Rhinolophus ferrumequinum: one gene and its partners. The protein of the gene in region 3 purifies or fractionates together with the protein of the main gene of each other region. This does not show direct contact. Links are inferred from orthologs where the notes say so. Each region holds a gene or a part of one and is shown on either strand. Other genes may lie near its edges. The genes, in order: LEO1, MMS22L, SSRP1 and TRIM24.

The links.
Region 1: the proteins of SSRP1 (region 3) and LEO1 fractionate together in Homo sapiens (co-fractionation; 3 studies listed by BioGRID and IntAct, with this or other methods). This does not show direct contact. The link is inferred for Rhinolophus ferrumequinum from reciprocal best matches to the Homo sapiens genes SSRP1 and LEO1.
Region 2: the proteins of SSRP1 (region 3) and MMS22L purify together in Homo sapiens (affinity purification with mass spectrometry; 3 studies listed by BioGRID and IntAct, counting the BioPlex papers as one, with this or other methods). This does not show direct contact. The link is inferred for Rhinolophus ferrumequinum from reciprocal best matches to the Homo sapiens genes SSRP1 and MMS22L.
Region 4: the proteins of SSRP1 (region 3) and TRIM24 purify together in Homo sapiens (affinity purification with mass spectrometry; 3 studies listed by BioGRID and IntAct, with this or other methods). This does not show direct contact. The link is inferred for Rhinolophus ferrumequinum from reciprocal best matches to the Homo sapiens genes SSRP1 and TRIM24.

The regions. Positions count from the first base shown.
Region 1 is NC_046289.1:55,980,779-55,989,125, reverse strand, and holds the start of LEO1 (RNA polymerase-associated protein LEO1), read right to left. Parts: upstream 3,311-8,347; 5' UTR 3,172-3,310; coding exon 3,114-3,171; intron 1-3,113. UniProt on the Homo sapiens protein: Component of the PAF1 complex (PAF1C) which has multiple functions during transcription by RNA polymerase II and is implicated in regulation of development and maintenance of embryonic stem cell pluripotency.
Region 2 is NC_046286.1:52,352,462-52,360,528, forward strand, and holds the start of MMS22L (protein MMS22-like), read right to left. Parts: upstream 3,093-8,067; 5' UTR 2,968-3,092; intron 2,762-2,967; exon of another isoform or gene 2,625-2,761; intron 2,455-2,624; 5' UTR 2,377-2,454; coding exon 2,216-2,376; intron 1,272-2,215; coding exon 1,146-1,271; intron 391-1,145; coding exon 341-390; intron 1-340. UniProt on the Homo sapiens protein: Component of the MMS22L-TONSL complex, a complex that promotes homologous recombination-mediated repair of double-strand breaks (DSBs) at stalled or collapsed replication forks.
Region 3 is NC_046294.1:11,753,697-11,761,958, reverse strand, and holds the start of SSRP1 (FACT complex subunit SSRP1), read right to left. Parts: upstream 3,369-8,262; 5' UTR 3,229-3,368; intron 2,740-3,228; 5' UTR 2,665-2,739; coding exon 2,611-2,664; intron 2,219-2,610; coding exon 2,033-2,218; intron 1,410-2,032; coding exon 1,304-1,409; intron 1,036-1,303; coding exon 845-1,035; intron 740-844; coding exon 509-739; intron 373-508; coding exon 269-372; intron 166-268; coding exon 37-165; intron 1-36. Other genes in the region: P2RX3 (P2X purinoceptor 3), read left to right, coding at 5,318-5,436. UniProt on the Homo sapiens protein: Component of the FACT complex, a general chromatin factor that acts to reorganize nucleosomes. The FACT complex is involved in multiple processes that require DNA as a template such as mRNA elongation, DNA replication and DNA repair.
Region 4 is NC_046309.1:10,568,007-10,575,402, forward strand, and holds the start of TRIM24 (transcription intermediary factor 1-alpha), read right to left. Parts: upstream 3,302-7,396; 5' UTR 3,013-3,301; coding exon 2,649-3,012; intron 1-2,648. UniProt on the Homo sapiens protein: Transcriptional coactivator that interacts with numerous nuclear receptors and coactivators and modulates the transcription of target genes.

The DNA of each region.
Region 1 (8,347 bases), on a different chromosome or scaffold from region 3:
CCTACATTAAAAAAGAAAAATCTCAAAATCTCAAAAATCTCAAAACTGAACCTTTCACTTTAAGGAACTAGAAAAAGGAAACTAAACACAAAGCAAGCAGAAGGAAAGAAATGATAAAGATTAGAGTGGAGATAAATGAAGTAAAGAATAAAAAATAATAGAAATCAAGGATACCAAAAGTTCATTCTTTGAAAACATTAACAAAATTGACAAACCTTTAGCTAGAATGACCAAGAAAAAGAGAAAAGACTCAAATTACTGAAATCAGGAATGAAAATGGAGACATTACTCTGGTCTTACAGAAATAATAAGGATTAAAAGAGATTACTATGAACAGCTGTATGCCAACAAATTAGATAATTTAGATGAAATGCATTGATTCCTAGAAACACACAAACCATCAAAACTGACTAAAGATGAAATAGAAAATCTGAATACACTTATAACAAAGTAGAATTTAAATCAGTAATCAGAAAGTTTCCAACAAAAACACAGCCCAGGACCAGATGGCTTCACTGGTGAATCATATAAAATATTTACAGAATTAATGCCTATCCTTCTTAAGCTTTTCCAAAAACTTGAAGCAGAGGAAACACTTCCAAACTCATTCTATGAAGCCAGCATTACCCTGATACCAAAGCCAAACACGTCACCAAAAAAGAAAACTACAGACCAATATCTTTTATGAATACATATGCAAAAATACTAAACAAAATACTAGCAAACCAAATCCAGCAGCATATTAAAAAGATGTACACCATACCAAGTGGGTGTTAACATAGGAATACAACAGTGGTTCAACCTATAAAAGTCGAAGTGAAACCATATTAATAAAAGAAAAAAAGTGATTATCTTAGTTGATGCAGGAAAGGCATTTGACAAAATCCAACACCCTTTCATGATAAACCCACTCAAAAAACAGAATAGAAGGGAATTTCCTCAACCTGCTAAAGGGCATCTGTGAAAAACCCACAGCTAACATCATATGTAAGTAATGGTGAATGCTTTTCTCCCTAAGAACAGGAACAAGGCAAGGATGTCCACTCACCACTTCTATTCACATTGGATAGAAAGTTCTAGCCAGGGCACTTAGGCAAGAAAAAGAAATAAAAGGCATCCAAATTGAAAAGGAAGAGGTAAAACTATCTCTATTTGCAGATAACATGATCTTACGCGTAGGAAATCCTAAAGAATCCACTAAAAAACTATTAGCGTTAACACATTCAGCAAAGATACAAGATTAACACACAAAGATCAGTTGTACATTAGCAACAAACAATCCAAAAACGAAATTAAGAAAACAGTTACACTTGCAATAGTATCCAAAAGAATAAAACACTTAAAAATAAATTTAGGAGGTGCAGGATTTATGCAATAAAAACTACAAAACATTGCTGAAAGAAATTAAAGACGACCTGGCACATTTATATGTGAAAGAAACATGCTGGGCCTAGGTAGGAATTCTACTCATTGTTATGCCAAGAAATTTGTCAGGTGCAGTTATTTTCCACAACTCTCTTAGCACAGGGAGAAAATGAAGTATGCTAGGCATAACAGGAATTCCCTGTCACATCCATACTACCTTCGTGATCAACAGCAACCTTCAAGGACAGATTTGGTAGTAAATCTGATTGAGTCCTGTTATCTAATGGTAAGATGAAAGAAGCAACAGACTTACAAGAGAAAGTAAAGTGTGAAGCCAAGAGAAGCAGATACCTCCAAATATCACTTCCCCATACACTGAGTTTGCAATGGGAAAGCACTGCAGGATACATGTTACTAAACTATTGTTTCTACTGCTCCAATTTATTTATTAAATATGCATTAAACATCAGTGTAAGCTGGTGGAGAAAGGGAGGGGGCAGAGGCAATCTCTTCATCATTATATCCCCAACACCTAGCAAAGTAGCTGGAACATGATAGGGGATCAATAACTACTTATTGAATGAATGAACAACTTCATAGAAGTGAGTCATGGGAGGTTCACATGGTGGAATTATGCCTTGAAGGACAAATGGGATATGGACAAGTAAAATTGAGGGGGAAATGAAAACATTAGCAAAGGTAGTGGAACAAGAGGTAGCATATAGGGCTGTATTTCCTGACTAGAATCTCCTGGACACCCATCCTGCTAAAGCCCTCAGACTAGACTTCCACCTGGTGCTCCTTCCACTACACTAAAAAATATGAGTAAATTGGAGTTGGAGAGAAAAAGAACAACTACAACAATGCACTTTGCTAAGGCAAAAAGTAGATCAAGTTACTTTGAGACTGGAGGGTTGCAAGAATTCTGAACTTGGTCTTAGACCCCTTCTCACTTCAAATAACTCCTATTCATATTTCAAACTCAAATAGCCACAGTCCTGGTACCAGAAATACTTCCATGAACCATTCATTCATTTTCATTCATTTCATCAACAAATCCTTCATCTCTCCTCTTCAAACACAGACACTATACGTCCCGCAATCTAATACCAGTTGAGTTTGGTGAATTCTAGTTTACCAGGTAAATTCTAATTTACCAGGTAAATTCTAGTTTCTGCACAGGCTCTCAGAAGGCATTCTCTCCGGTGCGTAATGCCTATGTATCCCGGTTTCCTTCCTAGTTTCCTTTCCCAGGTATCTCAAACGCCCCATAACCCCATGGTGTGGTCTCATTGAAGCGGGCATTCTGAGCTCATCTGTAAATTCGTCCACCCACTCCCCATATTCCTGAACACCTAATTTCCATTCACTCACAAACAGCCCTTACTATGCGCTAGCCTGTGCAAGCCAGGAGAGAGCAGGACCCCAAGGTTCCGTCCTGGGCTGTGCAGGTTCGCCCGCGCCTCCACCCCTGCCCCGCGCCCCCTTCGCTCTACACGCTCCCAGGCATTGCATGCTCCACCGACACCAAGAATCCCCAGGCTCACGCTCAGCGTTTGTCCCTCTACTTCCGCCCGCAGGAGGAGGCTGGCACCGCCGGGAGTGCAGGGGGCGCTGGGGCAGGAAAGGAGGAAGCACCACCAGCCCGCACCGTCCGAGCGTTCGCAGACCCGGAACCTGACTGCGGTCGGGTTCCGGCCGCAGAAGGCCCTCCGCGACCCGCTCCGCCGAAGCCCAGTCGATCCCACCTTTATGCTCAGCATCGCTGTCGGCGTCGCTCCCGAAGAGGTCCTCCATATCCGCCATTCTCGCTTACGTCCGCCTCTGCCTTGGCTGGGGACTGCTCCGCGACCGTCTTTACGGCACGAAACCAACGAAACGCGACAGTGTCGCAAAGATTCTCTAAAAGGCTGCTTTCCTCCTGTGACCTAATTTTCGCGAGCTCCACGAATCTATATGCTCGTCGATGCTTAGGCGTTCACATGGTGACAAACCCCGCCCTTTGTATCTGTTCTCATTGGCGAGGATTTTCACCCGGAGCCGGGCCTTCGGGGTCTGAGTGGATGGAGTGGGTGGTGCTTGACACTCTCCCCAGAGGGTCTTGGACCGTGTTAAACCTGCCCGGAGTCGGGCCTGATGTCCTTTGTTTGATATTGACGCGCGGTTCTTAAGTTGTTGAGGACTCCAAAGTGCTTTTGTTTATGTTGGTAATATATGTTGATATTTACCACATTCATAATTAAATCAGAAATTTAAAAAAATTTAAACATAATAAACAGGTTAACAAATACCATTTTAAAACTTTAAATCACTGGATTTTTGTAAGAGAAAAAAATTAGAAGAGTGGAATTATTTTACAGTTTTCAAAATGTCTTTAATGTCTGACTTAAAAGAAGACAGCTGAATTCTCATGCCTGCTTTCACATTCATTCAGTCTGTTTTGGTTGACGCTTGTGAAGAAAATCTGGCCTCATAACAAATATTTACATAATTAGGAAAGGGAGGACCTTACAGAGTCCCCTCCGGAAAGGGGGGGGGGGAGTTGTCTTTCTCAGACAACTCTTTGACCAATGCAGCTTTAGTGCAGTGTATCTCAAGCATCATAAATAAATTTTCCATCTTAACCTAGTACACAATGTAAAAATTTGAAATAAATAGTTCACAAAACAATACTTCCTTCACTACTAAAATGCAGTCTAAGATTTCCTATTCTCTATTTTATTCTATTTCAGCTTCTTAGTTTTATGTTGAATGCTGACAGGCAGTGCACCCACTAAAATGATTTCATGATTTACTAATGGATTGCAACCTGCAGCTAGAACACTACTTAAAGGGTTTCATTGACTTGTTTATTTTGCCTAGAAATTGATTTTAGAGGATATGTGGCTACAATTATACATAGTACAACCAGACAGTAATAGAGTTTTCATAATAGGTTAGTGCGAGGTAAACACTCTTGCTTTACAGGAGCTCAAAGAAATGAAGCGATTGTATACATTAAAGAACTAGGTCTCTTTTAGAAAGCTTTCATTTCAGTTTTTAAAAATGTACATTCTAGGGCGGCCAGATGGCTCAGTTGGTTAGAGCGTGAGCTCTGAACAACAGGGTTGCCAGTTGGATTCCCACATGGGCCAATGAGCTGTGCCCTCCACAGCTAAATTGAAGACAATGAGCTGCCGCTGAGCTGCCGAAGGGGGGGCCGGATGGCTCAGTTGTTTAGAGCCTGATCTCTTAACAAGGAGGTTGCGGGTTCAATTCCCGCATGGGATGGTGGGCTGCAGCCCCTTTAACTAAAGATTGAAAATGGCAACCGGACTTGGAGCTGAGCTGCGACTTCCACAACTGGATTGAAGGACAACTACTTGGGCCCTATAGAAATACACTGTACCCCGATATTCCCCAGTAAAATAAAATATGTACATCCTCCCACACCAAGACACATCATAATTAAAATGCCAAAGGTTAGAAACAAAGAGAATCTTAAAGGTAGCAAGAGAAAAGCAGTTGAGTTACCTATAGTAGAGCTCCCATAAGACTGTCAGCTGATTTCTCAACAGAAACTTTGCAGGCCTGAAGGGACTGGCAAGAAATACTCAGTGGTGAAAAGCGGGGACATAGAACTAAGATTACTCTATCCAGAAAACCTATCATTTAGAATTGTAGGAGAAACAAGTACTTCCCAGACACAAAAAAAAGCTGAAGGAGTTCATCAACACCAAAGTATTACAAGAAATGTTAAAGGGACTTCTTTAAAAAGAAGAAGAAAGAAGATTAAACAAAAAAAAGAATAATAAAGTGGCAATAATTATATATCTATCAACAATTCCTTTAAATGGATTAAATGCTCCAATCAAAAAACATAGGATGGGTGCATGGATAAGAAAACAAGACCCTTACATATGCTGCCTACAAGAGAGTCACTTCAGATTGAAAGACACAAACAGGCTAAAAGTAAAGGGAAAAAGATATTTCGTGAAAATGGAAACAAACAAACAAAGAGCTGGGGTAGCAATACTTATACCAGACAAAATAGACTTTAAAACAAAGGCTACAGGAAGAGACAAAGAAGGACCCAGTAATCTCACTTCTGGGTATTTATCCAAAGAAACCCAAAACACTACTTCGAAGGGAAATGTGCATTCGTATGTTCATCACAGCATTATTTACAATAGCCAAGATATGGAGGCAACCTGGGTGTCCGTCAGTGAATGAATGGATAAAGAAGAGGTGGTACATATTTACAATGGATGAAATCTTGCTATCTGCAACAACATGGATGGACCTAGGGGTATTGTTCTGAATGGAGAAAGACAGAGAAAGACAAATGCCATGTGATTTCACTTATATGTGGAATCTAAAGAAGAAAATAAACTAACAACAGAGACAAACTCATAGATACAAAGAGCATTTTGATGGTTACCAGATGGGAGGGGGTTGGAAGGATAGGTGAAAAGGGGAAGGGATTAAGAAGTACAAATTGGTTGTTACAAAGTAGTCATGGGGATGTGTAGTATAGGATAAAGAATATAGTCAATAATATTGTAGTAACAATGTATGGTGTCAGATGGGTACTAGATTTATTGGGGTGATCACTTCATAATTTATATCAATGTCTAATACTGTATTGTACATCCGAAACTGATATTGTATGTCAGTTGTAATTGAAAAATTAAAAGGTTAACTAAAAGTGTGCATCCTGTGTTAGGTTATTACCAAATTAGGCCAATATGAGGGTTTTGATCTTGGACAAGCAACATGGATTTTGAGTTTGGAGATTATGAGATATATTTTTGTTGCCAATAAGAGTGCCTGACATGGTCCAAATGGGCAAAAGGTTAGCTAACTAGGTATGTTATCAGTTCCAGAGCTGTTGTGATAAAATGGATGATATAAGAGTAGGTAGGTGGGATTACTTTAAAACTTTCTGGAATACTGGGAAAACAAGTATTCTATTTGTAATTCAGTTTCATTTTCATTTAGAATACTATCCTTGAAAAGGACATTGATTAAATCTTAATAAATTGAGTGAAGCATGCTGAATCACCATGCCCATATTCATGACTAGCAGAATTAGTGTGTTTATCCCATCAGAATAATGCAAAACAAATAACTTCTGGTTCTTTGATTTTCACTTTTGTTTTTACTATACTGTATGCCGATCATTGCTCTTTTATTCATTGTCTTTCTTTAAATATAATGCAATCAATTAGATTTCAGCTAAATCAATCACAATCATTTTCCAGTACTGCTTGCCTAAGGTTACACCCGGATCACTTTCATTGAATGTTAAAATAATTTTCATTTATCCTATTGGATAAGAAGTTCATCTTACTGGGTTTGTGTTTAACTAACTTAACTCTGGATGTTAAGATAATCTCTTGATTTGCTCCCAGGGATGAAAAATTTCATCTATTATGTGTGTGATTCACTAAAACAACTCCAGAGTAACTTTACCTTGATTCCCAGTTTTGGAGGTTGTCTCTTTTTCCCATGTTCTGACTTCATTAGGTGAAGTGTGATCCTCAGACACCACAATACCCCCAGTCAAAGAATAGGGATTCAACTAGGTTGATGATGCTAGGTAGAAGTTAGAAAATGTAGGAGGAGGCGGGGTGGGAGGGGGTCCATAGTGACTATAGAAAAAGCTCATAAGTAGCTTTGATTAACTGCCTCATATTTGTTTCTACAACAACAGATAACAATGCCGTGGTCTGGAGCAAGATGAGGATCTGAGTCAACAGACCTCCACCCATCTTAGCAGGTCACACCCTCCCATGGAAGAGCATGCACCATTTTTCCCACCAAATCAATATGTAACTCCCTCACCTCACCCGGAAAACTATAAGTCCTTGGGACAAGGGCTCTCTCTGTCTCTGACCCTCGAGCTCTCTAGCCCTCACTCTCTTCCCCTTCCTCCCCTTTCTCTCTCTTTCTCCCTCTCTCTCCCTGTCCCCCACCTTGGCTAGGCCCATTCTCTTCCCTAAGAGTGTATCACTAATCAACCCTGCCTGCATATTAATCAGCTTGCTGACCTTTGATTCTTCACTGTAGGCAAGAAGAACCAAGACTCTCGTAAAAGGTAGCAAAAATACCTTTAAATTTTATAAATTATATGCTCACATCAAGTTGCAAAACCGGAATACGAGGTGTGATCAAAAGATAAGGTGAATGTTTAAATTAAAAAAATTTATTACAGTAAAAGACACATTGCCATTAATCCCCATCAAAATACTCCCCCTTGCTTCGAACACCTCCCTTCGTTCTTGCCGTTTTCTGAAGCAGTTCTGGAAGTCCTCTTCCATGAGTGTCTTTACTTCATCCTCCATTATGACAAAAGGTTCATGTCACACATCACTTCTGGTACAGCAATTTCTGTCAAATAAAAACATTATGGTGTGTCCTCATGCACCTTATTCACTGGATCTGGCACCCAAACTAGACCACGCTGAGAGACCAAATGGAGACTCCCCAAAACTACATAAAGAGAGATGCCTGACCAACCCTCAGCTGCAATAGTCCTCTTAAGCTTCCAGCTTCAGTGTGCGTGCAACCTCGGTGAGAGACACCAGACCACAGGTGCCCAGGCTGGCCCTTTCCTCAATTCCTGTCACACAGAAACCAGGAGACAGTAAGGGGGTGTTGTGGCATAATGCCTCTAAGTTTTGAGGTGGTTTGTTATACAGCAATAGCAGTTGGAAGAATTACTCAAAAATTTTACAATCTATGAATTGTAGTCCCTAAAATGAGGGACTAAGCCAAGAAAGGGAAAAACTTAAAAGGCAGGAAATCCAAGATTGAAAAGAGGCAAAAGAAATTTCCAGAATGATAGTTGGGCCTGCAGGCCAAGAGGGATGCTGGTCCAGATTGGAGCAAGAGGACAGAAGGTTCCAAGAGAAAGCAGACTAAGAAGGAAATGAATAGAATACCTGCTACATTTGCTAATCCAATAAGGATAAGTGCTTTCTCCATGCCAGAAACTAAT
Region 2 (8,067 bases), on a different chromosome or scaffold from region 3:
AGTCCCCACAAGATCAGTAATTCATTAAGTGTCAAAAACAGACAGAAAGCAGAAGAGCAAGAAGACAGCACAAGGTCTGGTATAGTTCTCCATCCTACTCCCCATCCCCAAAGCAAGTTACTAACAGATGTTTAGCTTTAAATCAATTTTACCTACAGATTTGAAAAAATATAAATCTTACCTACAACAAACTTTCAGTGTCATACTTTTGTCTGAACACTAAATATACTTTATCCTGAACTTCTGTCCTAACACTGCCACCATGTTAGTATGATATCCCAATTATCAACGTAGACCCATGTGCGATTCACTATAATTTGCCTTTAAACACACAACTTACCAAAATCACAGCTGGCCTGTAATAAAGTTTCCAAGTTGTACAGTTGTTGCCTAATTTAAAAAATGTATGTGAGAGTTAATTTTAGAATAGTTTAAAGCATGTAAAATTACACAGATGTTTCCAAATCTATGAGCTTCAATGTGTCCCATTTGTGAGTGACATTTAATACTTCATGAATGTTTATTACAGGGTCAGCTTTAGGCAAGATAACTTTAAGAAAAGCTAAAATATGCCTTTGTCTGACTTGCCAAAAATATCTATTAAAAGCTGCATATACCTAAGAAATGGTATCAAATATCATAGATTTCACTATCAATTAGATACTGTTTAAATCTTCAAGAAGTTTAAGATACTTATATAAAATATCCTAGGTTAACAGTTACATAATGAAATTTAAGTTGTATCATAGTTACAGTAGGAGTTCAAAAAGGAACAATGTCCACTAGAGTTATCAGGCAAAGTTATATTTATAATGTTCCAACTTAATTCCTGAGAACTAATTCCTTAATTCCACTTTCCATTCTTCCTAGCTGCCTTTCGACTCCTTAAAGATTGACCCATATTCATGACCTGTGTCCTAGATAAAGACTCAACTCATCCTGTAATGTTCAGAATTAGAAAATCATTCACTTAGCCTGTTCTCTCAATAAAACATAGAACATGGCACAGATACAGTGACACATAGGGTCTTATGGGATGAGGGTGGGAGGAGAAATCCTTCCTGCACCTTTCCATTTTCATTTAAATGTAGCATATATACATTCTTAATGTATTTTTGGATATTTAAAAACAAAACGAAACATACCTGAATAAATGAAATAGCACTCTAGATGAATTCACTAATGCTGTTTCAGTAACCCACTGAATGCCAAATATTTCCACAGTATCCTCTTCAAAATTAGTTGGTAAAGGATCAAGATTCAAAATTAATCTGAAATGAGAAGTGATTTAATCTCACGAAAAGTATGCTAAATCTCATTACTATAGCATGTCATTTTTGACATTATATGAGCCTGTATTGTACATGACACGCTAGCAATGAGATTCTAAAGTCACAAACGATATACCCTGGTACCTTACATATTCAGGAACACTACAGCTAGACTGTATTAAAAAATTCAGTCTCAAGAGCAATGTAACTTATGTGAAAAATGCGTGGAGTATAGGGAACACACTTTCGCCTGTGTTTAATAGTGGTCTTCAGTTGTAGAATTTCATCCTTTGAGGAGGCATTTAATTTTTAAAACAGCTAAAAGTTATTGAACCATGTCTGGAGAATAACAATCAAAATGAGTAATCTCTTTTAAGGTCTCAAACAAGGTACAACTGTAAAACCAACAAAAATGATTTCCTTTCTGACTGAAATTGCCTCAGCAGGTATTCCCAAAATATTTCAATAACAGCACACAACTGCCCAAGGCAAAAATTTTGAAGAATAATATTCCTGTGAACTTATACAATCTGGTATTTATTAGAAAGCTTTTTTAAAATAAGTCTATTAAGACCTTTCTATATACAGATACATAGTATCAGAAGGAACTGGGGCAACAAAAAATGTGTATGTTTTACTTAAGGATTACTGAACAAATCAGTACCCACCTCCCTAATCCAAAGCTGAGGCAGCAGTGAGGTAAGAGAACATCTGGCAGAGCAAGAAAGTTGTTCTTCATATCCAAAAATCTTTCAGGTAAGCTCTAACCATGACAACAACAACAGAACTAACAGCTTGTATCCGTGTGATATACTAAGCCGATTTACAAACACATGGCTTGCACATCAAAGTTTAGTTAACTCTAATCTTAATTAAATAACATCCCTAACAAACTGATGGAAAATCTGATGAGAGAAAAACAAAGTCTCCGATTTTTCACTTACCGCTTAAGGGCTCCACTGGAAAGGTAGGACTCTCCAGAAAAATGTTTTCCTCCTCTGTTGTCAAAAGCACAAGAAAAGCAAGGGGGTTTGCACCATTCTGTCCCCAGCTCCAGTTCCAAGCTGTCGGTCAGGAAAGTCGACGCAGCGGAACAGATATCCATTGTTTACTTCATGTTCTGAAATGTCTGGGGTTCATTATAATTATCATTAAGGGCTCCAAAGAAGTCGTGATGAGATTCCTGGAGGTGGGGCGGGCCGAGAAATCAGAGGTGACTTCAGAAAGTTCCCAAAACGCTCCTCCCCAACACACACACACACACACACACACACACACATAAGTCAAATTCACAATAACTCTCTCCCACCGATCTCCCAAGATCAAGGTTGTCAGAACCTAAGCAAAACGCACCCGCGATTGGATGTAGCAGAAACTTAACATCCCATGTAGGTCGGACACTGCTGCACAGGGCAGGGTAAAGAGGAAAGAAATGTTTGCAGGACAGAGACTTTAACTCCAGAGATCGCCTGGCCCTGCGCCCTCCTCTGTGTTACTAAACTGCGCTGCCAGCTTCCCCAGTGTCGTGCAAATGCTCCCTTGCAGCCTCGGGGTGGGGAGCAGGACGGCGCCGCGCCAACCCCCATTTCTCCAGGCCCGGGAGCAAGTCTCACTAGGTCCGCACACGGCAGACACCCGCGTGGACCGGGCCAATGGCGAGGGGAGCCGGTGTCCTGTGCACCGGTGGCCGTCGTACCTACTCACACTGTCGGCCTCCGAGATCCGCCCGCCGCGATCCCGATCACAGCCCGGTGGTCCGTGGGATCTAAATCCCAAACAGGTGAAATTCCCGCCACTGTGCGCCCGCGCTCAAGAAGGGCGGGGCCACAGCGGAGCCCGCCCCCGGAGGTAAGCTCGCGAGGTCTCCGTGGGAATGGTCGGCACTCGTGAGTTCTCGCGAGAGTCCGTCAGCCAAGGCTTCAGTGCCGCATCGGTCCGCCTTTCCTTTCTTTTTTTGTGAGCTTTAATTGGTGCCTTTGGCCGGAAGGCGGGGCCTCGGTGGGCAACGAAAATGACGAAACTGAGGTGAGAGAAGCATAGGGACAAACGGGATTATCCTCTGTGGGCCTGAAAAAGGAGCTTTGATCGAGTCCGGGGCGGGTGTCTCATTCACACCGACAGCCGCGTCTTCGCCCTTTTCTTCCCTGGCTAGTGTCTGCAACTCTTTCGTTAAGAACGACGATGCCTGTTTATGGATTGTGAGCCAAGCAAGTGCAAAAATGAGGTGAATCCAGTGAATGGAAAACACTGATATGAAAACTGTTGCTCCACGTTTATGCAACACATCCAGGCAGGTTTAAGTCGTTTAAACCTGGACGCTTTTGTAAAAACATAGCCCATTCGCAGCATTTTTATCTTTTTAAGTGTTCTTGAAAGTCTCCTTAGAAGATTTTTAAGGCTGTCAGAGAGAACACATTTCAGCATCTCGCCGTCTTTAGATTCAAGAAAAACCTGAGAATTTCTCAATCAAATGTGCTGCTATAATTTGAGTATTTGCCCTTGCACGGTCCTCCACAATAGTTTGTCTTACGTTTAATTCCTATATAGGAAACTTAACTCTTTCCTCTGTTGAAACCACATTTTCTGACAAATGGGATGAGGTGGGGGGAAAACACAATGTGATCTGTATTCCGACTGCAACTTAGGGCTGCGAGGGTGAGTGCAATGTCTTTAATGCTCAGCAGATGTACCATGAGATCTCATGCTGCGTTGGGGACCACTGCAGCTGCTTTATGTTCCAGGGGGAGTCCAGCAGTAACACGTAGTGTCATCTACAACAATCCCTGGGAAATAGTGCATAGGTATAAGAATATTGGGCCCTGGCACTGACTTTTGGGGAACTTGGTCAGTATAGCCATTATTACTTCTTCCTCTAGTGAAAACATCAAAATAGACCCTTTTCCCTTTTTCAAGGGCCTGACGTTGAGTGATAAACTTGGTTGAACCAATGAGTGGAACAGGAAGAACCAAATAAGTTATCTGTAAGTAATTTAAACAAGTACTGTAACACGTTATAACAGTAACAGTTATAACAGTAGGTAAAAGATGGCATACTCAAGAGAAATGATTGAAGGGTGTTTAAATGAAAGGGCCATATACAAAGGTGTGGTTGACAGAATTACCTGAAAACAAAAAAAGGTGAACTAATCAGAGTCATTATCACTGTTAGGCCTAAAGGGTAAGGGAAAGAGGGCTTACCAGAGCCCAAGGAGACTTACTGCTGTAGGATACAGCCACCTACCTGATAACCACCTATGGTGGCTTCATGGAGGAACATACCCACTGCCTACCTGCAACCCAGCAGGGAGGAGCTGAAAAGACTAAGTATCCAAACCTCTTTCCCTCCACACAACAATGTCCTCCCAGTGTCTCTCAGTGGCCAAAACCAACCTAAAAACAGGGCAAGAATATAATCTATAAAATTCATTCTCCTGGGTTAGAGTCCAGGCTAACGAAGGATAGAGTGTGAATCTGAGAGAAGGGCCAATTATATCAAGAAGACAACGATACTAAATGTGTATGTATCAAGTTATAGAGCTTCAATACACATAACATGAAAAACACTATTATTTATAGGAAAAATACTCAAATTATTAACGGTAGGTAGAGACTTCGACATTCCTTTCTGTGATTGGTGGAACAAGTAGACAGGAAATTAGTACAGAAGACCTGAACAGCGCTACCGACCAGCGTGACCTAATTGACATTTATAGGTCACTCAACAATAGCAGAATACACTCTTTATTTTTTTTATTAGTTTCAGGTGCACAAGACAAAGTAATACTTAAACGTTTACCTTTTATATCTCTCACACTGTGTGAACCCCCCTCCCCCCATCCACTATCCCTCTGACTTCACACAGAGCCATTACATTTCCACTGTCTCTATTCCCAATGCTGTACTCCGCTTCATTTCTATGTATATATACATATACATACAAACTTGTAGTTGACATTCCTTATTGTTCAGCTTCAGCTTCAGGTGTACAGTGCAGTGATCAGGCATCTACATCATTCCTGAGGTGGTCTCCCTAATGAGACAAGTGTCCATCGGATACCGTACAAAATCTTTACAACATTATTGATTACATTCTGCAAATTAACTTTCAGAACCCCGTGGCCATCTTGTGGTTACTGACTGTTTTCTAATCCCCTCACCTTCCCTTTTATCCGCATCCCTCCTCCCATTAGCAACCCTCAGTTTTTCCTCTATGTCTCCAAACCTGTTTCTGATTAGTTCATTCACTTATTCTTTTCTTTAGATTCCACATATAAGTGAGATCATATGGTATTTGTCTTTCTCTGTCTGCCTTATTTCACTTAACATAATGTTCTCTAGGTCCATCCATGTTCTTGCAAAAGGTAAGATTTCTTTCTTCTTTATGGCTGCGTAATACTCCATTGTATAAATGTGCCATAGTTTCTTAATCCAGTCATCTACTGATGGGCATTTCAGTTGTTTCCATGTCTTGGCTATTGTGTATAGTGCTGCAATAAACATAGCAGTGCATAAAGTTTTTTGAATTAGAGTTTTGGATTTCTCCAGATAGATACCTAGGAGTGGAATTGCTGGATCACAAGGTAGTTCCATTTTCAGATTTTTGAGATACCTCTATACTGTTTTTCATAGTGGCTGCACCAATCTGCAATCCCACCAACAATGCACAAGGGTTCCCTTTTCTCCCCTCTTATTTCCCCAGCACTTGTTGCTTGTTGATTTATTGATGATAGCCATTTTGACTGGGGTGAGGTGGTATCTCATTGTGGTTTTTATTTGCATTTCTGTAATGATTAGTGAGTTTGAGCATTTTATCATATGTCTGTTTGCCATCTGTATGTCCTTTTTACAAAAATGTCTCTTCATGTCCTCTGCCCATTTTTTAATTGGGTTGTTTGTTTTTTTGGAGTTGAGTTGAGTGAGTTTTTTATAAATTTGTGATATTAACCCCTTATCAGACATAGCATTGGCAAATATCTTTTCCCATTCAGTAGGGTCCCTTTTTGTTTTATTGATGGTTTCCTTTGCTGTGAAAAAACTTTTTAGTTTGATGTAATCCCACATGTTTATTTTTTCTCTTACTTCCCTTGTGTGAGGGGATATATCAGTAAATATCTTACTCTGGGTAATGTCTGTGAAGTTTCTTTCTATATTTTCTTCTAGGAATTTTATGGTTTCAGATCTTACATTTAAGTCTTTAACCCATTTTGAATTTATTTTTGTATATGGTGTAAGGAGGGGGTCCAGCTTCATTTTTTTGCATGTGTCTGTTCAGGTTTCCCAGCACCATTTATTGAATAGACGGTCTTTACTCCACCGTATGTTCTTGCTTCCATTGTCGTAGATTAAATGGCCATATAGGCATGGATTTATTTCTGGACTCTCTATTCTCTTTCATTGATCTATGTGTCTGTTTTTATGCCTGTACCATGCTGTTTTGATTACTGTAGCCCTTGTAGTATAATTTGATGTCAGGTATTGTTTTACCTCCCACTTTGTTTTTATTTCTCAAGATTGCTGACGCTATCTGGGGTCTTTTGTGGTCCCATATAAATTTTAGGATTATATGTTCTATTTCTGTGAAAAACGTTGTTGGTACTTTGATAGGAACTGCATTGAATATGTATATTGCCTTAGGCAGTATGGACATTTTAACTATATTAATTCTTCCTATCCATGAACATGGTATGTGTTTCCATCTATTTGTATCTTCTTTCATTTCTTTCTTCAGTGTCTTATAATTTTCTGAGTACAGATCTTTTACTTTTTTGGTTAAATTTATTCCCAGGTATTTTATAGTCTTTGGAGCAATTGTAAATGGGATTGTTTTTTTAATTTCTCCTTCTGATGTTTTATTATTGGTATATAGAAATGCAACTGATTTCTGAATATGAATTTTGTATCCTGCTACTTTACTAAATTCATCTATCAGCTCTAATAGTTTCTTAGTGGAGTCTTTAGGGTTCTCTATATATAGTATCATGTCATCTGCATATAATGACAATTTTCCTTCCTCCTTACCGATTTGGATGCCTTTTATTTATTTTTCTTGTCTGATTGCTGTGGCTAGAACTTCCAGCACTATGTTGAATAGAAGTGGAGAAAGTGGGCAAACTTGCCTTGTTCCTGATCTTAAGGGGAATGGTTTTAGCTTTTCCCCATTGAGTATGATGTTAGCTGTGAGTTTATATATGGCCTTTATTATGTTGAGATGTGATCCCTCTATTCCCACTTTCTTAAGGGTTTTTATCATAAATAGCTGCTGGATTTTATCAAATGCTTTTTCTGCATCTATTGATACGATGATGTGATTTTTATTTTTCATTTTGTTAATGTGGTGTATCACATTAATTGATTTGTGGATGTTGAACCACCTTTGCATACCAGGGATGAATCCCACTTGATCATGGTGTATGACTTTTTTTAATGTATTGCTGAATTCTGTTCGCTAATATTTTGTTGAGGATTTTTGCATCTATGATCATTAGAGATATCAGCCTGTAGTTTTCTTTTTTTGTGGTGTCTTTGTCTGATTTTGGGATCAGGGTGATAGTGGCTTTGTAAAAAGTGTTTGGGAGCCTTCCCTCCTTCTGGATTTTTTGGAAGAGCTTGAGGAGAATAGGTGATAATTCTTTTGTGAACGTTTTGTAAAATTCACCTGTAAAGCCATCTAGTCCAGGGCTTTTATTTGTGTTGGGAGATTGTTGATTACTGATTCAATTTCCCTGGTGGTAATCAGTCTATTCAGGTTTTCTGTTTCTTCTTGAGTTAGCCTGGAAGGTTGTACGCCTCTAGAAAA
Region 3 (8,262 bases):
CCCCCACAGGTCAGGACCCCGCGCCTGTACACTCACCCTTGGAAGTTGCCTGGTACCGTGATCTTGCGGTTCACCAGCGCCTTCATGACACGGCTGACCATCTCATAGAGGGACCCCGACATGTTCTTGGTGAGCCGCCCCTCGAAGCGCTTCTCTACCTCTTCCCTACAAACAGAGGAAGACACAGCCGGTCACCAGCACTGCTGCCCGCTAGTGCACGCCTGTCTCCTGCCTGGACATGGCAGGATGAGTCCAGAGAGACACTCACTCATTCATGTTGAGAGTCAAGGAGATGTCCTCATCCTTGGAGAAGAGTAGGATCAGGAAGTGGTAACGGGTCTGGCCCTGCTTGATGGGCGGATCCAGGCTGATCTGGAAGGAAGAGCCGACGAGGTTCAACATCAATCAATGGTCCAGAACTTGCTGATTAACTGAACCCCAGTGAGATCTAGCTACTAAAGACTCGGGCAAAAACCAGGACAATCCACCGCCGGTGGTCTCTGCTCACCACAAAGAACATCTGGCGCTGGTCCTTGTGGGGCAGCAAAAAGAGACGCAGCACCGTGGTGTAGGGTATCTTGTAGTCGAAGGTCTTGCCGTGCAGGTGCAGAAAGGTGGGGTAGATTCGAATGTCGTATCGGCCTCGGGGAGTCAAACACTGCAGCTCCCGGAAGATACAGATGGCGTCTCCAGTGGCCTGGATCACATCCGCCTTAGACAACACATTCTGCGCAAAGGCCTGCAAAAGCACATACTGGTCATCCAGTAGCAGGGATTCTGCTCCTGGGCCAGCTAAGGCCTGCTCAATACCATCTGCTCCCAAGGTGACCAGGGGACACCTCACCTCAACGGGGTCCACGCCATCCTCCTGGGTGGGAGGCACGTAGAAGCGCACCTCCATGAGAGAGACCTCTGCGTCATCATTCTGGTGGAACTCCAATGTCACCTCGTTTTTGCCTGTGGTGCACTGGGACACGTTGCTGAGGGGTATCTCAAAGACCGGCTGGTCGCCAATGTCAAAGGAAAGCAGCTGCCCTGTAGGGAAAGGGCTATCAGCCACCAGCTCCTCCCCTCGAGTCTGCAGAAGCCAAATTCCCAGCAGGGCACTGGGCTTACTTTGCTCAAACTGTACCCCCAAGACCAGGCACAGTGCCTGAAACACTGTTGGTCCTCAATAAATACATGATGAATTACAGACTGACAGGAAGTCAGAGACAGTGACAGAAAGAGAGCAAAACAAGTTAAAGGCTGAAACCCTTCATCCTATCTTGTCCCCAAACTTCAATCCTTGCCCAGGACTCACCACCAAACTTCACGGTTCCCCAGTTCCAGCCCTTCACACATAGGTCCTTTTCCATTAGCTCAAGGCGATAGTGAGTTTTGAAGAAATCAGAGAGTTTCTCAAACTCCTGCAAGTGGAGTGGAGAGAGTAGTCCCAGTAAACCCCAGTGCTTTTAACACAAACTTGAACATTCGGGATCATCTATGTCGGAGAAATTGCCCTGATATACCTTTTATCAGAAATCCACGTTGACTTAGAAGCTCAGCTATAAAATTGTTTAAAAGGATGTTGAAAAAGGTTGTTTCTGGGGACTGGCTCTCAGGCTGGGGGGAGAATGAAATACGGAACTGACAATTCCTCACAATGCTATCTGACTTTATAGAGGTGTTGCTTTAATGCAAGTGGAAATTAACGTGAAGTAGTCTTTAACTCAAGCAGTTCGAAATGGGAAAACAACACCCAAACTAAAGCATCAAGCTAAGACGCTGAACCTGGACAAAGGCAACAAGCAGAAACCATGAAAAAAATCAAAATGGTAGCAAATCTTCTGGAGTCAAGACACTAAGACTCCCCCAAGACTCTGCACCCAAAACTGGACACGGACTGCTGAATGACCTCGATGGCCCTGCTCTGTGGAGCCCAAACTAGCAAATACATGGTTATCAGAGGAAGGAGCCCCAACTCTCTCTACATTAAAATTAAACAAGACGACGCCATAAAAGGGGGGTTCATGGCAACAGGGCACCTCACCGATTCTCGGAAGCCGTCATACTTGTAGACATGGCCGTTCTTTGTAAGCAGTTTAAGTCCATGGCCCAGAGCCACACGGCGCCAGATGCCCTCCGTCAACTCCCCCGCCTGGATGTTGTCCACTTTGCCCGTCTTACTGTTCTTGAAGATGATGCCCTGACGGCTCAACCTCAGCCGGCCATCGTTCTGTTGGAAAAATCGACCCAAATGCACGGGGACGGTGCACAGTGCATACTGGGTACAGTCCCACCCAACACCTAGGCTGGCAGGAACAACAGCTGAAGTGGTGAGGGCCAGCAAGAAGGGACAAGTAGCCAGAAAGTCTGGATTCTAATCCGGGCTCTGGCATCCAGAACCCCTGCAGGTCCTCAGGTTGGGGATGCGGGATGGAGCAGCAGGTCCGGTCCCTTCCAACTCTGAGATCCTGTAACTCTTGTACTCTCTCACTATTGCCTTTTGTTAGGGAAACACGAGGTACGCATTATACTGACTCCTTTTTCAAAGTAGCTCTTGTTGACTGACAAAAAGTCCACTCCCTTCCCTTCTCCACCTGTAGTGGAAGCCCAAGCCCTTCTTACCATGGAGCCTTTCACCTCCTGATAGATATCATTGAATTCCAGTGTTTCTGCCATGCTGTCCTTTCCCTTTTGGGGAAAGCTGGGCCCCAACTCCTGGATGGGTGTGCAGATCCTCAGCAAGTTGGGGATCTGAATTCAAGAGGAAAACAGACGAGCGTGAAAGACAGCACTTCACTCTGCCCCCAGATGGGGCCAGGTAGCAACCGTGGCTGTGCCTGGGATGTCTCAGGATCTCCTCTGCCTAGGAGCCTACAGGAGGGCTCCGCAGAGCTCGAGGGGCCAGGCCCAGCCCCGGCTAGAGAACCAGGCCTGGAGTAGCGCTTACACCCTAACCAGACACGGGCTCTGGACGCTCCACCCGGCGCCATGGCAACGAGCAGCGGTATCCCAGGGCCTGCCTGAAGTCCGCACCTCACCCGTGCTCCAACCCAGCTCAGAGTGCAGGGTTTCCCTCCCAGAGCTCCCACCGCGCCGCGGCCCCAGGCCCACGGTTCCCCCTCCCCCTAAAATGGATTCGCCCGCTACCCGCAGATTCGAACGCGGAACGGTCCATCTCGAGCGTCCCGGGGGGAAGCGGGACCCGCGCCCTCCAGAGGCCCGGGGACGGTGACCACCCACCTCTAAAGCAGTAGCCTCGTGACGGCCCAGGTGCGGGCTGTGGGCGCGCTAGGGGATGCGGGGGAAGGGGGGTAGGGACACAGGGGGTAGGGGAACACTGGGGAACCTTTTCCCGCGTGCGCGCCCCAGAGTCCCGCCACCGGAAGCTGTGCTCGGATCATAGAGAGGATGAGATGGCTAGAGAGGTGCGAGCTCGGCCCACCTACGAGGCGGTCACATAGAGCGTCGGCGGCCCTGGAGGACCTGAGGTCGGCAGGGCGGCGAGGAAGTCCCACCCGCGTGGAATCTGGCTAGAAAATGGGTACGCGTAGGGCTTTTTAAATATTACAGACACTTCTTCAGTGAAGGACTAGGTTCTAAAGAGAAATTGTGTAGTTTTCTTTTATCAGACTTTCCACAGATGTGTGTGTATATGTGTTGGATGGATGTGGGCCCTTCTCTCCTGCCCAATAGTGGTTTCTGTAGAGTAGGAATTTGTGAGACAAGAAGAAAAATACATATTTAAAGAGTTGAGAGAAATGACCCCGCCCACTGGCTGCGAAGAGAATGCGTGTGTTGGTGTCATTGTGACTGTCCTGCTCTCCCCTGTCAGTCACATGAGATTGGATCCTTTTGGAAATGAGTTCACTGTCTGCACCCAAAAAACGTCACATGTCTAACTGCAATGTATGGTTGCCTGGAAGAGGCTGGTAAACGGAGGTATCAAGTTCAAGTGCTGGTGTCAGAGCCAGAGCTGACCTGAAACCACATCAATCTGGGATTGCCGGAGGGAGAAATGCCCTCCTCACATAGTTCTAGGATGCATCTTGCAAAATCAAAGGTGGCCAGACCCAGGAGACGAGTTTGGGTTCGCCAACTCCAACCTCCTTTTGCAGGTGGGAAAACTGAGGCCCAAAGAGGAGTTAACCAGCGTCTCATAAATTGGCAACAAATCTGGAGATTAGAACCCACATGTCCTTGCCCCAGTCCAGTTCTCTTCTGTCATAATCACAGCAACTCTACCTTCAGAACAATTGAGCGTATGTGTCCTGTGCGAAAACATTAGGACAGAAAACTTAAACTCAAGATTTCTCTGAAAATCTGACTTAAACCAGTTACACCAGCTTGCTGACTGAATCCTGGTATAACAGACAGCGGGAGTGCACTGTTGCTCCCTGAACTCATGGCTGTCACCTCTGGGTAATGGCTACTGCACCACTATCTAGCAACATAAATTCATCTGGATTCAATAAATATGTATTGAGCGCCAACAGAGTTCTAGGATCTAAGGATATTTAAGTGAACAAGATGGAAACAGCACCAGCCTTCCAGGAGCATATAATCTAACAAATGATTCAGATGAGTAAGCTGACAGTAAAACAAAAACACAACAAAAAGAAATAAATAACCCAATGTGATAATACTACAGATAGAGTTTCAGCCTCTGCCAATTTCAGTTAGAAATATGAGCTGTGACGCTCCTCGCCCCCTCCCAAGAGACCACCTGAAATATTTAAGACCACGTCCCCCTGCCCCATGCTGTTGGAGGCAACTTGGGAAGGGAGGGGATGGCTGCAGACTTGAGTGGCTTTAGGAAGACCGGAATGAAAGGGGTACTCAGAGCAGGCAGGCTATTAGGTGGCTGGGGGATGGGGCATTGCAAGGGGCTTTAAGGAGAGCATAAAGCAGCTGGTGAGCTGGGATGAAGATGCAGCATAAGAGAACGGAACAGAACAGAAACGATAGACAGAGTGCAGATAAAACATGAGTCCCAGAGGGCCCTAGCCAGCTGGATCCCAGGCAATCAGGAGCCTGGGATTGGAGACCCCACCCCTGCCATGACATCACAGGGGAGTAGGGTGGAGACGAACAAAAAGGGGTCCCCCCCCACCGCCCTGGCCTTGGACTCTTGGCAGCCCAGAGTGTCAAGAGCAGAGAGAGCCTGGGCACTGGACTAGGGTTGCCTAACTTAAAGGAACAGGCTCCCCATTCCTCAAGCCCCTCTACGCCGCCCCTCCAGGCGTTGATCCCTATCTCCCTGTCTGAGGGCTGCTCCCTCCTGAGACTGCCATTGGGTCCCTTCTGAGTGGCCCCCGAACACTCTTTCAACATGAACTGCATGTCAGATTTCTTTACCTACGAGACCACCAAGTCGGTGGTTGTGAAGAGCTGGACCATTGGGATCATCAACCGAGCAGTTCAGCTTCTGATCATCTCCTACTTTGTGGGGTGAGTCTGGCCCCCTCTCCCCTTAGTGTGGCTGTCCAGATTCCCAAGCTTCTCCTCTCTCTGGGGGAAGTCTCTTTTGTGGAGCCATGTCCTTCGGACTGGCCTCTGTGGCCCCATCGGGGATCTGGTCCTGAGATGAGTTCTTTTTCACAGTAAACCCTCCGGAGTTGAAGGGGCTTCCCGAGACACGCAGTGCGAGGGCACTACCCTCCACCAGGAGAGGTCCCAGGTGACCGTCTCCCCTCTCCCTTTTCTCATCTCTCCCCCCCAACCAGAGAACAGACAGACCCCCAAACACACATCTTCCCATTCATCTCAGTCAACCCTTTGGGGTCTCAAAAAGACAAGGGATTCCAGGAATGGGGATAGAAAGGCACTGAAACAAGGGAGCCAGTGACAGGTTGATTGCGGGGTGTCAGGAGGGCCAGCTGGAGGAGGGAAGGAGAGAACTGGATCCGCTTTAGAATGAGGGTCCCCTCCTGGCATGGAGAGATGGGGAGAGAACATGAAAAGGGGAGAAGCCGGGCTTTTGGAGGGTAGGACAAAGCGGGAAGACCTGCCCCTTGGGAGGGAGGGAGAACCACGGGCACCAATAACACTCGAGGGGAGAGCTGTTGAAGAGAAAAGTGGCTTTTCTGAACATAGTGTAGCGTCCTTCCTCAAGAAGCCAGAAACACTCCCCTTTGTCAGAAAACGTAAATTCTCTATTTTTACCTGACTTTGTACTATATAACCCAGCTGGGAGGTGCCTAAGAGCCAGCAAGGTCTGAACACCCCTGTGGCCCCCACCTCTTGAAGGCACCCACACACACACACTCACACTCACACCCATGCACAAAGGGCCATGGAACACACAATGGTGGGGGAAAACACACAGGTTCTGTCCTTCTCATGGTCCCTCACACACACGGGCATCAGGAAATACAGGCCAAAACCTCAAGGGTTTTCTTTCCCGGTGTACAGGTCTCCAGTCTCGTGCTGTTCCTTGAGACAATGGGTCTGTGTGAGAGAGACAGCAAGCCACTGATGGTTGTCATGAGTTAATTCAAGCAAGCCAAAGGAAATATCCTGTGTGCGTACGGGTGGGAGCTGCGTGTGGGGGGCCTCCTTGCCTGAAGGTCACAGTAGTGTGTGAGGGTGTGCGTGGAAATGTGGCTAGACGTGAATTAAGGGATTTTTGCTCCGCGGGCTTAGCGAGAGCCAGTAAGCTTCAGTTATGCGTGTATTGTAGACAAAGCTGTACATCCTGTACTCCTCGTGGGGACATTGGAGAAGGGACTCATGCTTCGGGGTAGGGTTAAATGGCCTTGAAGTTCTCTTCCAAGTTTGAGGTTTTGTGAGATATGATGTTTGCAAACGTTTCCTGCCCGCACCTCCGGAGATTGGCTCAGAGTTGGTTCTTAAAGCTTCCACGTTCACGGGCATGTGTGATGCACTGATGGTTTATATGCAGCCACAGGATGGTGCGTTGGTCCAGGTGAGTGCAAATGCTGCCTCAGCACATTGCCAGCCTGGCCTGACTTCGTTGGGTCCAGGCAGGAGACTGATGGAGGTGGGTAGAGGCACGGGCTCCTGGACCAGCCTCCTCAGCACCCCACTGCCCTTGTCTCTCCCGCATCAGGATGCAGTCTGGTGCTCTGATCCTCGGTGCTGGAGCCGGGCCTGCTGGAGGAAGCACGAGAGGCTCTTTGGCATCTTGATATTCATCCCCATCCATCTCCCAGCCTGACAGCTCCCCACGGGGCAGCTCCTTCCAGTTATATCGCGCCCTCTGCGGCCCAGCCCCCTGGTGTGAGCCCCATTTCTGCACACGCACGTGAGCCCATGCACCATTAGGACTTCCGGAATCCATTGTCGCTAATTTAGCAGAAATGTATTGAGCATCTCTTCATGCCAGATATTGTGCACTGAGGATAGAACGGTGGGCAAAAGCAGACAGGGTCCTCACCCTCATGGAGCAGATCATGCCAGAGATGGACATTGATCAAATAATTTCTGCCAACAAATGTAAAATCTCAACTGTGGCTCAGGGTGCTAGGAGAGACTGCTAGTATGGAGGTGTTTGACCTGATCAGAGAACCGAGGGAAGGTTTTCTGGAGATGTGGCACTCAAGCCAGAATCCGAAGGACGAGCAGGAGCAACCCAGGTGAAAAAAGGGTAGGAAGAGCATTCAAGGCAGAGTAACCCAGCTCTGCAAAGGGAAAGGGCCTGGCTAATGGGGAGAAGAAAAGAAGGTCTTTATGGCTGGAGCAGACAGAGCAAAGGAGACGGTAGTGCAAGATGAGGGCAGGATTGCAGACGAAGGTCAGACCTCAGACACCTCAGATCTTTCCTTTTTTACAGAAGAGTGAATGGGAGGCTACTAAAGGGTTTTAGTGTGTGTGTGAGAGAGAGAGAGAGAGAGAGAAAGAGAGAGAGAGAGAGAGAGAGAATCGATTGAGACAGACATGATGAGATCTGAGTTGGGAAGATCGCTGTGGCTGATACACAAAGGGGTTGGAATAGGTAGGAGTGGAGGCAGGAAAATGTGTTAAAAGGTGGTGCAATCAGATGGAGAGAGATGACTGTGGCTTGGACTCAATAGAATGTGAAAGGATTTTTAATGCTGTGATGTTGATGCTTAACTAATACTTGAATCTCTTCCATAGTGTGCCTGTCGGGTAGACCAGATGCATAATCTTACCTAGGACATGTGTGCTCACAGCAACACACCACCTAATTGTCTCCACACATGCTCTCACTACCGCCTCTAGCCTCAGGTGTCTCTGTTTGACACCATTTCATCCCTGGTTTCCTTTACCTAGGGTTTCCAGGCGGGAATTCCC
Region 4 (7,396 bases), on a different chromosome or scaffold from region 3:
AAGGGAAGACTGTAACTGCAGCATGGTATGTGGCCTAAACCAAACTGGTTTCTTCTGTTTGTTTTGTTTTGTTGGTCTATAGAATGGGCCCTGTGTGGGTTTTTTAATTACCTGCCAAGATCTAAATTTCTAGAGAAATTTTACACAAAAATCCAGACTTCAGACTTCTCATAATAAAAGTTAAAAAAAAAAAAAAGATCCTTCAACACTGGCCCTGCACTCACATGAGAATCCGTGAGAGCCTAGTTTGCCCCCGGCCCCCACTCCCCATTATTTTAACCCCAGGCTCCTAGTTCTCCATCTCAATTACCAGCTTAGCCCCTGTAGGTATTGTAGTTTGATCCATGATGCCTGTACCCACAAGCTCATTAGGAGAATGAGGAACAGATGATCAAATGAACCCTATCTATTTAGTTCTAAAATGTATTGTCTAAACTTTTGTTTCGGCTGGTATTAAAATAAGTTTGCAGGGAGAGAGGGGAGAAAATATCCCAGTCAATAAGACTCAGGAAAATATTTTCAATTTATTGCAAATGACCCTAACTTTTTTGAGGTGTATGTGCAAGTATCATTTGTTAATGCTTTTTCTTAGTACACAAAAACATTTATCTTCCAATTTAAATGCTTTCCTTGAACTCTTGCTTACAATACAAATACAAAGATAAAAAAGAGTTGGGGACTGGGATTATATAGAACATTTTGAGAAATCTGGAATTACAAACTTGTCTCAGAATTGAGGATCAGAGATTTTATTATCCAAATTCTCATTCCTTCAGGTCTGCATGTCATGGCCAGGCACACAATATATCTTAATTCTAGAATTATGCAAAATTCAGATCCTAATTGGCTAGTTGCCTGTTTAACCATTTAAAATAGCAATATAAGAAACCTTAAAATGTGTCTAAAAATTAAGAACTAAGATGTTTCACTTGTACTAACTTTCCAACAGGTGGGCCACATCTGAGCAAACTATTAGGGTGGTGCAAAAGTAATTACGGTTTTTGCAATTATTTTTTTAACCTTTTAAACCAATTACTTTTGCACCAAACTAATAGTATGAAGGATCTGAGATTTTATCCTCCCTACCACAAGCTAACAAAGTAGCTTACCACGGATGCTAGTAGAAAACACGAGACTCAGGAGTCACAGACAAAGGGCATTTTATTACTTACAATAATAGCGTAAGCCAAAGCACCAACATTTTTGCACTGGTTCCCAGAGTCCCAGCTCTTACCAGGCAAGGTGAAGAGAGGCAGTTGACACCTGCACAGGCAATGGGTTGTTACATGAGAGGAAACCTAAGCTTAGGGAACCCCAATCTTTTATGATGAGCAGTAAGCATGCCTGCCTTTTACTCCAGAAGGAGACATTTATTTGTATTCCACTGGACCATATGCATGCCTGCTCTTTGCTCTGATGGAAGACACTCTTCTAAGACTGTTCCTTACACAAACATCCCTTAAAAATACAAACAAAGGGCAGTAACCACTGGCAGGACCTGCAGAAACAGAGAAAGACCCATGGAAAATTGTCTCCCTCCACTAGATACTGTTTCTAGCATATAATTAAATGAGGAGTCTAACACGACCATTTATTTAAAGCATTAATTAATTTCACATACCCTTTGACTTAGCTCAATTATTTAATTAGCATTTTATCTCAAATCTACTAGTCCCTCTAAAAAGGAAGCAAATATTAGAAATGAATAATCCCACCTTTTCCAGTTACTTTGTATTTTTAAGAGAAGGAGCTCAAATATTTGCAATACTAAAATTTAAAAACCTCAAGTATTCTACAAGAAAAAGAATTACTGTGCTTACTTTGACTAACTTTAAATGTTTCAAACCTGTTAACGTTACCAATGGGAACTACCTGTCAAAAGTCTTGTTATACAGAAACAAACACCACAAAGAGAACAGTAACTTCAACATTTCCAGCTGCTGTCTACAAAATACAAGAAAAATCCTGCATCCCAAATCACGTTGTTCTATTTCTCTTTACCTTTTACCGTTTCAAAAATAAAATCTTCGAAAGAGAAAGACAACAAAACACCGCCTCTTAGTTCCTTTGTCCACAGCAGAGGGGAAGAGAACTGGGTTCTTAGGAAGGTAAAGAACACGAAACATACAAGACAGAAAATAGACGGCAACTGATCTGTAATCAGTCATCAAAGAAAGTCACCATCACTTCATCTTCATCCCTGCCTCCCCACTCCAGCTCAGAAAAACGTGCGTGTAGACGAGATGATTAGGATCGTATGCACCTGGACAAAGCTTTGGGGGAGGCAGAGGGTAGCCGTTAACTAGATGCAGCTGGCAAAGAACCCGAGATACAGACTACAGCAAACTCCGACAGAGGTTTTCAAAAGTGCGGGTCGCGTGGGCCACCCAACCCTGGAGGGGAATGCCGAGGGGCAGGAGCAGCAGCGCGGACAAGTCCACGGCGCCCGTGGAAGTTGCTCGCGGGGCGCGCGGCACGCCGCAGAGCGAGCGCGGGCCCTCCATGTCACCGCCGCCAACACAGACCCTCCTTCTCGCCCCTCCCCCGTCGCGCACCCCTGGCGGCGGCGACATGACAGCGAGTCGCGCAGCACAAGGGCGCCCGTCTCCCCGACGCCCTCCCTGGGCTCCCCCGCGCCCGCCTCTCACCTTGGGTAGCGAACCGCGAGGAGCCGCTGGCCGGCGAGCCGGGGCCAGGGACTGGCGGTGGGGTCTCGGCCGAGCCCAACATGGGCGCGGGCAGCATGAGGTAGCGCTGGGGAGCGGGCAGGCAGCGCTGGCAGAAGGAGTGCAAGCAGGGCAGCAGCTTGGGCGCCCGGCTCTGGATATTCTGGTGGCACACGGCGCAAGTGTCCAACAGGTTGAGCCGGGCCGCCTCGCCTCCGCGCTCCGAGTCCGGGCCCTGCCGACTCTCGGCCTCGTTCTCCCCGCTCGGCGTCGCCGAGGGCCCCCCGGCGGCCGCCGCCGAAGCCGCCACGGCCGCCGTCGCTGCCTTCTCCACAGCCACCTCCATTGTCCTGCCCCCGCCGCCGCCGAAGGGGGAGCGCGGTCTCCGCCCGCTGCCGCCCCCGACGACCTCCTCCTCCTTCTCCTCCTCCTTCTCCTCGTCGTCACAGGCCGCTCGGGTGACCCGTGGGAGAGGGAGGGCGAGAGGGCCGGGCCGAGGAAGCCTCCTCAGGCCCCGGGGATCCGCCTCCCGGGTGGCGCGGCCGGAAGAAGGGGATCAGTCAGCAGGGACCGTTCCTCGCACCGCGGAGGACGTGCTCCGTCCGCTTCGCCAACCGCCGCGGCGATCTTCGAATCCGCCCAGCCCGCCCTCGCCTCCCCGCTTTTCTCTTGAGCCCCCGACCCACCTCCGGATCCGCCCCCGCCCTCGCCCTCTCTCCCAGCAACTGAGACGACGGCAGGGAGCTCGCCGCCCAATAGCCGCCGCGCCAGGCCAGGGGGCGGGGCCAGCCGATGCCCGCGAGGCTCCGACGGTCCCGGCGGGAGGCTGGGAGGTGGGAGGGCTCTTGTGAAGCCCCGCCCCTCAAAATCCTGGAACCGCGGCCTCTGATTGGGCCTTTGTGTGCGTGTAGCTCCTCTGAAAATATTGAGGGTTCATTTGTTAACGACCGACCATCTAATTCGGTCCTCCTGTGTTGGCTCCTCCTACGGGGCGGGGCTCTACCGTGTATGCGCGTTAATTAAGTAACTGCTTCGAAAACTCTCGTTTTACTACTGGAGACCGGGGTCCTGTAGAAGGCATAAATATGGTGGGAGGGTCAAAGGATGGTGAAGTAGAGATAGTGAAGAGCAAACAAGGAAAGAATTGTGAAAATGTGAAAAAACGATACCGTAGAGGCAGCATGGATTTTGCCACCTGAAGGTACTCATCTCTATGATGAATGATGGAGCATGAAGAATAAGGGGGAAGGTTCTATTGCAAGTCAGAAATTTTGTAAGGATTTCGCCAATGAAAATTGATTTTTAAAGTCAATGATTTGCTTTTTAAGTGAATAAAAGGGTTCATTTTCCAAGGACTTAATATATAAAAATTGTTTGCAAATGTCTTTATTGCACAAATATGGCATCATTCCAAAAATAAAAATAAAACTCAATATTTATGTCCAAATAATTCATAACTTCAATATTTTTGTTTTCATTCTCCAACCCCCCCCACACACACAGTTACATTAGAAGTTACACATATTTTCAAAAAATGGCCAAACTTTTAAGGAGCTTGAAGTATAGAAACGGGTTAGGAGAAACAAAGCTTTTGTATACACAAGACTGTAAAAAAATTGTATGGAAGTGCCATTCTTTAAGTACAAATGAAGTGATGCTGGACCTTTGAGGGAGTGGTATGGGATCAGAAAAACTTAAAGTTGAAAAGATCTTGAAAGAAAAAATGGCATGGTGGGAGGCGGGGGCAAACTCTAGGCTTCCTAGCCCTCCCACAAGACCTCAGTACCTTCCCAAATTATTCCTCTCCTACCAGACTCTTTACCAGACAGGTCATAAAATCCATTTTCCAAAAGCCTTCAGAGCAAAGTTCTCCTTAATGATATTCAAGGGCTATTCATTTTGTATGGTACTAGTTTCTTAGACTTTAGTTTGCATGAAATTCACCAAGCAAGTTTGCTTAAGAGCTGGTTCTTTGGGCCCATCCCATATTCAATTTTAGTAGCATCTCATAATTGTGATCTGGGTGCTCCAAGACTACCCTTAAAGAAACAGAGACCTATCCGAAGTTTCTTACCTATCCCTCCATGATTTCATCCCTATACATCTCTCAATCTGAAGTTCCCAGTATTCTCATGCTTTAATTTTAATGCCTCCTGGTTTGCATGTGCTTTTCCCTTTGTTTTAGAATGCCCTTCCCCCAAAATTCAGACTTACCTATTCTCCCTCTAAACCATCCCAGACAAAGTTCATCACTTCTTCTCCAGTATTCATTCTCCACCCTATCTTTTTCTAGCTGCACTTTGAAAATCTTCATATACTATGAAAGCAAATTCTGTATTACAAATTAATGATTTTAATATGTTAATAATTCATTACAGAGGTAGTATACAGGATTCACACAGACTAAAGACAAGTGCTCTTTATTCCCGCAGATGACAGTAGTGGATAAGGAAAGAATAAGAGGTGAACTGGGGAGGCTTGTTTTGAGAGATTTCCATGTAATTTGATACAGCCCACTAGTTTAGTTTCTTAGTCATCATGGATAATCAGTTTTAGAGAAAATTATCTTCCATATTCTTAGACTTCCTAGTCTCAGGTAATTAAAACAATTGTATGTTTTACTTTGTTCAAATACATATGGCTTCTGTTTTTTTTTTAAGTCTAGAAAACGAATTTATTATTTTAGATTATTTTACTTGTGTGATTTTCTTATCTAGATATTGTCATTCTCCCAAGTGTGTTGTAAAACTTTCGCAGAGATCTACCAATAGATTATTCTTCCTTAATTACAGCTCTCAATATATTCCCCTCTCTTGTTCCATAATTTCTATGGCTCCCCACTGCATCCAAGTCTCTCTACATTTCATCCCTATCTGATCTTCCTGTCTGGATCATCACTGTTTTCCATACCCATTCTAAGCTTCAGCCTTTTGGATGGTTTGCCTTTTTCTAAACTTCATCACCATCACCTCTACAACCACCTCTGAGAGCAGAGATAAGAGTTGACCATACTGGAAGAGAAGGAGAACAAGAGCATTCGAGTCTAGTGAGAATTCCTCATGCCCACCACTCAAAAGGTAGTAATGGATAGAAATTTTAGAACTTCCAGGGGAGTTTAACGAAACCATTTTTGAGTAGACCTCTCAGAGGCTGTGATGCACGTCTAGCAAGAAGGGTTTGAGATAACTCCTTCACCCAGTTTCCTATGGCTTTACAGGAACAAGGAAAAGATCCCTGTAGCTTTAGTAGTAGCAGAAAGGCCTGGATGATTTGAGGCTTCATTGTTAGGAAAAGAAGGATGCAGTGTGCAGGGACCAAAGACTGTCTCATTATCTCAATAGCTTCCACAGAGATGCCAGCAGTCAAGAACCAATGCAGGTAAGGCACATTCTGTGTATGCCACCATGAACCAAGGATGCCCAAGAATCCAGTGTCTTTCTGTCGCGAGCACCTGAAAGGGCAATTGCCATATTTCAGTCTCTTCCTAAAAGTCAAGGGGACATGAACCCCTCAGCAGGGCCCTATGTCCCTGCATGGTACTCATGACGTAAGTGGGGAACAAAGTCTTGACACACAGGTTCAGACAGAGTGAGTAACACAGCTTTATTTGGGAGCCAATGTCCCTCCAGAGGCCAATGCTCTGGCAAGCACCATAGTTTATACAAGACAGAATAGAATTTAATAACGAACCAAGTCACAGAGTCAATCGAGATGGAGAAGGTCCCTGGTCTGGGAGAGACGACTGGGCCCACGACAGGTCTGAGTCAAGTTGGTCTTGTTTGCAAAGAAAGAACTTCGGAGAGTTCCGGTATCGCAGCTTGCACCTCGCAGAGGGTCTTAGCCGGAGCGCCCAGTTGGGCTTCTCCTGGCATTGCTCTGGAGTTCTGCCTTTATCCTTTCCCTTGGACTTATTTACTTCTTAGGTGATAACCAGAAGTTGTTTGCCAGGAGTTGTTTACCTCTTCAGTAATAACGAGAAGTTGTTTTGGTGAACGCTTTTATCACTCGATTTTGTGATACTCAGTTTCACACAAAAACATGTTTTTCACTTCATTCTTATCAGGCTCACACATGTGCGGCCATATTCCTACTAGGAAGCAACTTGTTTTGCAAACCTCAATCCAACAACAACCTCGTTGATAGTATATTTTATATGCTCTGTACACTTTCCCGCCTATGCCATGATACTATTTAACCCTTGGATCTGCAAATTGGGTCTAGAGAGAAGGGAGAATGAATGCTGTATTGATTGATTTAAAACCTGAAATGATGACCAAAACAAAAAAACAAAAATGGAAACAAAACCTAAAGTAATTAAGAATATGACTAGATGAAGCTTTCTGCTATCAGGAAGATAAAAACTTCAGGGTTTTTTTGTTTCGTTTTTTTCAATTTTTTTTTTAATTAATGTTAATAGCCTACATACTATTTTGGGGTACACTAAAGGATTAACTCAGTGAGCTTGGATTACTCAAACCCTGCACATTCCAAAGAAAGAACTGGCCCTTGACTAACTGATAGTCTCTGAACATTTATCCTACCTGATAAGAGAGTTTTGGGACGTTTGAGGCTTTGGGCCACACTCCATCATTTGACCAGGTGGTTTATGCTAATGAAGGCATGTCTTATGGCTAACACCAGTTTTTTGTATACCTGAGTCTCTTGCCATGCAGTGTCATTTTTATCTCTGGGGAACTGAAGACTGAGTAGCTAAGGTCGATCCCATGGGT